2 linked regions of the Nothobranchius furzeri genome follow. The protein of the gene in region 2 interacts with the protein of the main gene of each other region in a biochemical or structural test. Links are inferred from orthologs where the notes say so. Each region holds a gene or a part of one and is shown on either strand. Other genes may lie near its edges.

Region 1 (2,853 bases), on a different chromosome or scaffold from region 2:
TTCTGAAGGGATTCACACACGGCAGCAGTTTGAATGCTTTATTTTCTTTACGTATGCATACTGCAGTTAAGTAGCAAGAACTAAAGGCAAACTAGAAAGGACTACAAAATACAACACACGGACCAATACATTTACAAAACATTCAAAATGTTACAAAACGGGCTGTATTGGTCCTTCTATAGTTGTTCTTCAGTTTGGAACTTTGTACAAGTTGTCAAATGTTACCATCACTTTGCACAGTTTTACACGTGCCAAGGAGAGACCTTCACAGCCAGCTTCAAATGGACAAACCAGGAAACAGGTCTCCACCACCACACCTGAGACTTAACCACGCCTTTCAGTCCCACTCGAAAGGAACAAAACAAAAGAATCAAACAAAAGTAGCAGGCAGTTTTTTTTCTCTTCAATCATCTACTATTCTGCCTCTGAAAGCAAACAAATTCAGTAAGCAGGGTTTGTGTGGGAGGAAAGCAAACTAAGGACTTTGGTAGTGAGTGAGAATACGTTTGTGTCTTTACATGTCAAGGTACGAACTAGCCGACACGTGAGCAGCAACCCACCTGCCGACTTCCCTGCTCTCCCTTTTTTCTTTTTAATATTTACATCAAAGCATCAAAAAAGTATAATAAACAGCATGTTCCGATCCATTCTCCTCCCAACTCATCCCAAATGGAAAAAAACAAAATCTCTCTAGATCCTGGAGCAGTAGTCCTTCTGTTTCAACATGACTGGTCGCCAGTTTATCCAGTGCCAACAGTAGAGTGGGAGGTGTGTGTGTGTGGTGGCGGGGGCGGGTCAAGGCCACAGCATCCCTCAGAGGCTACGAGGTGACGTGCAGGTTAGCTGGCACCGGTTCCCTCCATCACCTGCTGGGCCTGCTTCTGCCCCATGCAGCACTGGGCTACGGACTGGAACAGCCTGGGGGGCGGGAGGAACAAAAACACCAGAACGGCTCAACAACAACAACAACTCCTGGAAACAATAAGCTAAATATTTTGTGAGCTGCTGTAATTCACGCCAACATCACAAAACCTACTTTTCAATCTCCGGGGCACAGTGCACAAAGTCGTGACTCCAAAACTTGAAGGCAGGATTCTTGATCAGCTCGATGAAGGTGATGAGGAGCCCCCATGGATGAGGCCGGTTCACAATCAGTCTCTCCAACAGAACCCTGAAGAAGAGAGGAACATGTTCAGCTAACAGGAAGTGTGATCCACATCCGTGAAGACTACTGAAGGTCACATCAGACGGTCTGACCTGGTGATCTGCTCCTGGATGGCCTCGGTGTTAGCCTCGGCGAACAGGTAGAGCATGGTGCAGCTGAAGTAGTGGGTGTGGCTGTTTGGGTAACGCAGCTGGTTGGCGATTGCATTCAAGAACAAGTAACGTCCTGGAAAAATATAGGAATTTGGTCAGTTTTTTGTTTTGGATGAAAGTTTAACATCATTTCTGCATCACCTTCGGAGAATTTCATCACATTTATCGTCAAACTGTTTCTGGACAATGTTTTAATGATCCTGCCGTCTTACCCTCCGTGTCCAGGTCCACAGCTAGGTTCTGAAAGATGTCCATGTGAGCAGAGTGGGTGATGGTGCTCATGGAGGGGGTGCTGCCCTTGTTGTGGATGTGAGCGATTGCTTGTGTGCCAACGTACAACACCAGAGCGTTGATCAGCTGGATGTTGTAACGATTTCCCGGTTCGTTCGACACCTAGGTGGAGAAAACAAAAATTAAGTTGCAGGAATTTAATTTGTATTGCTACGCCAGACGAGACACGGGCCTTACCTGCAGATTACTGCGCAGCTCAGACAGAAAGGTGACAGGTGAGCGTGTCTTCAGGTAGGAGTCCAGATCCTTCTTGAACTGAGACGGCATGACGCCTGTGAAGTTGGTGAGGATACGAGGAGCAATGTTGATCTCACTCAGCATGTCCACCTGCAAGAAAAGAGTTAAAACGAACATTTGTACAGATGGACCTCAAACGTGTGCGCGGAAAAAAGGAACTGTTGGTTTAAACGAAACCATCTCAGTGCTTGTGTACCTTCAGGTTGGGAGTGAAGGGGTCTGGAAGCCTCATGTTGCGTGGGAAGGCACTAAGGATGAGGTTGCGGAGCTGGATGCAGTTGGGTGGGATAACGTCACAGAAGCCGTAGTGATAGTCACACAGGAACTCTGGGAAGTCATGCAGCAGGACGAGAAGCACCCTCAGCGTTCCCTGAACAGAGTATAAGACACAGCAAAGTCGCATTGAGATTTATTATTCAAATGTGGATGTGAATTATTGTGGTTGTAGGTCTGACAGCGTACCTTGTAGAGGATTTGCATAGGTTTGATGAGCTCTACATTCCTCAGGAAGGGGGCGAGGTACTTGAAGAGATCAATCAGAAGCTGTGCATACATGGGCCAACCCTGGAGGACGAAATCAGCCCATTTAAGAACATTTAAAGAACAGAATTATACACAAACATTTGTCTCTAAGCAAATACATCTGCTACGGTCAGACTTTTCAGCTGTAACCCCGGTTTCACACTGCAAGCATCAGCGGAACGGAATGGCAGCGAAGCGGCACCGCTTCAAATAGAATCCAATTATAGTCTACGGAGTGTTTCAAACCAGCCGCGATGCGGCAATTTTCAGGCGCATCCCGGAAGCGGCATGCCGCGCCGCGCCGCGCCGCCAAAGATAGGATCGAGTTCTATATTTTCCGTGAGCCGCTTCTGGGACACATCAATTTCCGCAGTCCACATAGTGCGAAACAGGAAACCACACACGGTTTCAGTGTGAAATCCCCGGTTATTTTCAAAATAAAATGCAACGTTGCGATGTTATATATAACTTACGTCAGTACGTGTG
Region 2 (4,402 bases):
GCTTTTCTTTTGGATGCCATTTCACCATTGTTTGTGCATATGGTAGGCCTGAACGATTTTAGGAAAAGACTGAATTGCAATTTTTCTAGCAGAAATTGCGATTTCGGTTCAATTCACGATTTTCTGCAAACAAAGATCCAGCATTAGCCTGCCAAGCCACCCTGTAGATTAGGTGAAAAGATGGTCTAGATTCTAATCTAGTACAACAAATCATTCACATTAATATTTACTATTTATTTAATCATACAATAAAAACAGTTAGCCATTATATTCTCCCATTATCTTTTTTTTTTTTTACATTTTTTTATGTGTTTGTGAAGCAACTTGTGCTTGTAGTTTATATCTAGAGAGGAGCTTTACAAAACATGTTCTATCCAAAAATGCATGGAGGAAATCTGTAAGTAAACATAGATTTTAAATGTATTAAATAAAAAAATGCACACAGTTTTCCCTGCATTACCGCGGCAGGCTGGCTGCACGTTTTTCAAAGTCGTCTGATTTTCCTCACTAAAATGTCAACTCCGTGAGAGACACAAGCATTCTGACACCTTAGCTTGTTTGAGCTAACGTGTGCCATCAGAAACATTCAAACCATTTTTAAAAGATAAGTTGAGCTTTCAAGTCAACTAAAGTGCGCGGCTCCGCACTCGCGCTGATGAAGCATAAACCAAGCTTTAGAAATAAGCCTGAACCTGCTCCGATGTGGGAGGAGTCTCTCTCCCTTACCCCCTACGTCCTCTCTCTCTCTCTCTCTGTCCCAGGCTCACCTTCGGTCCCATTATTATAGGCTCTAGCAGCGCTGTGTGTGGGAACGTAAAACAGGAACAATAACCTGAACATGCAGCTCTGGCAGCTTTGGAGTTGGGCTCTGCTCTGGATGGCACACCCCACTCCCCTCCCCCGCGCTGGATTTTGCCGCCGACATAACACAGGGCGACAACCCCGGATGTAAAAAATAAAAAATAAAAAGTTACAAAACTGATCCGGGATCAGTCAAAACCTCCAAAACCATAGCGTTGACGGTCACATGAGCGTGCTGTTTGAAATCGGAATTTCGGTCCAAAAACGATAGATCGTTCAGCCGTACCATACGGTACAAATCTTTGTTGCAAAACACCTCCCTGGACAAATTTCGAAATTCAATTTGGAATTTTGAAAATAAACCAAGTGAACACTATGAAGAAAAAAACAAAAAACACCATACACTTGAGTCTAGCGGACAAAAACGTCCCATTGACTTCCATTCAAACCACAGTTTAGTATGTTTATGCACCTGGCTGGAGCTCCAGACACGTGCATAAACATACCAATTGTTTTTGCTTTCTACACTTTGAAGTTCAGTAAGAGAGTCAAACTGTGTTTTATCTACTTATCAGAGGTCAGGTTGACCTTTTGACTTCAATACAAACAACAGAAGATCTAAAGAAATGTGTAGACTTTCTCACCTGGGCCACGTATGGAGAAATAACTGAATTTGGTGAAGAACAGTAAAAATCACAAATTTCACTAGTGAAAAATGAAACACTAATATCACAGAAAGCATGATTACTTTTTCCAGATGTTACAGGATGAAAAACTGTGGTTTGAATGGAAGTCAATGGGACATTTTTGTCCGCCAAGATCAATCTGTTGCTACACAAAAACTACGGATGCAAATTTTTTTATTTTTCAGTTATTTCATAACATGACTAAGCCTGATTTATAATAAATGCCCCAGGAAGAAACAGTTGTTTTTGGGGGAAAATAAGTCATTTTTGTGTTTTTTCCTCCATAAATTCCAGAAATGACTGAGTAATCAAACTGGCATTTGAAGTGTTAAAAATGATGGAGGGCTGAAGTAGTTTAACAGAAGGATGAAAAAAAAGCAGAAGAAAAATATTATTGTATACATTTTTATAGCCATTTTTACCAGCGGACGTTTTGTCCTCTAAAGACTCAAGTGTATAGTAAAATAAAGTGAAGCCTGAGGCTTAAGCGTCTTGCCCAAGGACACAACAGCAGCATTGTCTGATGGGAGCCGGGATCTAACCTGCAACCTTCTGATTACCGGTCTACCTCCTGAGCGACTGCTGCCCAAATAGTAAACCAATGCTGGCGGGAGTGAGCCAGACAGAGTTAAAACAGGATATGAACGATGGCTGTGAAGCAATGGACAACGGCGCGGCAGCACAGCTGATACTGTACTGTTTGATGGTGTAACGCATGTTACTTTGTAACAATGGAATTATCAGAAGACTACTTCCACGGTCTCGTGGCATCAGCTCGACTGAGTCATTTACATGCAGATGAAGTTGAGTTTCTACCGCATTATGTGGGTGCTTTAGCCAGACTAATGCGTTTACATGCATAAAAAAAAACTACGTCCCTTTAAGGCAATAGTTTGGTTTTCTGACTATGAAGCAGTGGAGGGTCTGTGCAAGTAACTTTATTGCTTCATCTGATTTCATAAAAACTATGTAGTAGGTCCCTCAGACCTGAGGGTTAAACACCCGCTCACATCTGTAGCCGTTTAAATGCACAGCTGCCTTCAGTCCTTCATAAAGGAGGAGTCAGTTGGGAATGCAAATGCCTGCCCCCCCCCCACCCCCCCACCCCCACTGCTTACCTCTGAGTGCCACTGGTGGCTGCAGCTCCTGGCTGGACAGGAGGGTGTCCCCGGTTTCAGAAGAGAACAGGTGGCCTTTGGTTCCCAGCTCGGCACAGGGGAGGTCAAAGGTCAACACTTAGTGAGCACAGCTTCAAGGGTGTGAGGTGAGGAGGCGGGGCTTGTCAGAGCAGGAGACAGGCTGATTAGCCTCCCTTGGCATCGCTGAAGACTGGTGTTTGTGATTGTTTGTAAATAGGGACGGGGAAGGATGGAGGCGTGGTTATGATTAAGGACCGTCTTGATGTAGTATGCTTCGGCACTGCTGCACAAAAAAATAAAAAAATAAAGGAAAGGAAAGAAGCCATTATTAGTTTATTTTAATACTCTTTCTTTGTAATTTTAGATTCAAAACATCTGTAAAATAATTGTTCACAACGTTAGCCATCACATTCATCAGCTTCCGAAGCAATCCTGAAGTATTTCAAACAGCTGTCACAATCTTGTGCTTTAGAAACAATCCACATGCTCACAGAAAGACGTGATGGATAAAAAGGAGCTAAATGTTCATAAAACACTACGTGGTTTCTCAAAACAAAACATTTAGTTTTCTGACCTTTTTCAGCATAATAAAACAATTCCTACCAGAGTCAATGAATGCTAATAAATTATTATTCAACATGTTGACTACTCACTGGTTAAAGCAAAAGGTTAGATGGCAACTCGGCAAAACAACCGAGGGTAAATGGATCTCTAACTTGCTTTCGATTTCTGCAACAACCCAGACTAGAAACCTGACAAGAATGAGAAGGATGTAGCAGCTTGGTAATCAACATTGGTTTGTTCAATTGTGTGTGGGGAAAATGCCAACAACATTAGGAAAAAAAATCAGTTTAATCAAATTAAAATAAAATGGTTCTAGTATTTCATATTTCCTAGTTCCTAATGCATGAGTTCAGATGCATTAATTCATGCACTTAAACATTAATGTTCTGATTTTAGTGAAAAACTTGTTCTGTAATAGTTCCTTTGCTATTGTGATCAAAAACATTTCATCTCAATTCTGAGGCTGCTCTGTAAATATTTTTCTAATAAACAACACACATAGCAACTTCTGATCAATCTTTATCAGCTTCAGATTTAAAATAATGTATTGATGTAAACCACACCCACTAATTTCCAAATAATAAATAAGAGGTGCATTCATCTGTGTACAGGGTATATACAGCAATCCTTAAGTAAAATTTACTACTTTTTAATACTTTTTTTTACTACCTTCAGAATTTTTTTAAAACCATCACAACACTAAATTGCAAGTGTTAATCAGCGACCTATTTACACATATTTTAACATATATAACATACAAAAAGCATAGACTTAGAGACTCACTGATGTTGACAACGTATTGCGCATATTTATTTTACTTAGAAAATATGCCAGGCACTTCTTTTCAGCGGTTCAGACAGTTGACCACGGGGCCTGAAATGATGCAGAACGACCACTGAATATGACGTCATCATAATGTGACCGGATATGCTAAAGTAGGGTTGCTCAATTATGGCAAAAACAATAATCACGATTATTGTGACTGAAATTGAGATCTCGATTATTTAAGACGATTTTTCAATTTATGTAGATTTTTTTAATTTATTTTTATTCAGTCATAAAACTGCTCAGGGCACAATCAGGGCAAAAATAAACAAGAAACAAGATGATCACTAAAAGAACTCCTGATTCCCAGTATAAAAAGACCAATATACTTATAGCTCATAGTTTATGACCCAAGGGCAATAGACCTTGGTTTAACTCATTTAAGTC

The links.
Region 1: the proteins of trinucleotide repeat-containing gene 6A protein (region 2) and cnot1 form a complex in vitro, tested with the Homo sapiens proteins (2 studies listed by BioGRID). The link is inferred for Nothobranchius furzeri from reciprocal best matches to the Homo sapiens genes TNRC6A and CNOT1.

The regions. Positions count from the first base shown.
Region 1 is NC_091744.1:81,594,354-81,597,206, reverse strand, and holds the end of cnot1 (CCR4-NOT transcription complex subunit 1), read right to left. Parts: intron 2,410-2,853; coding exon 2,308-2,409; intron 2,216-2,307; coding exon 2,042-2,215; intron 1,936-2,041; coding exon 1,786-1,935; intron 1,711-1,785; coding exon 1,530-1,710; intron 1,391-1,529; coding exon 1,258-1,390; intron 1,172-1,257; coding exon 1,037-1,171; intron 919-1,036; coding exon 840-918; 3' UTR 626-839; downstream 1-625.
Region 2 is NC_091752.1:63,517,215-63,521,616, reverse strand, and holds the start of trinucleotide repeat-containing gene 6A protein, read right to left. Parts: upstream 2,841-4,402; 5' UTR 2,606-2,840; intron 1-2,605.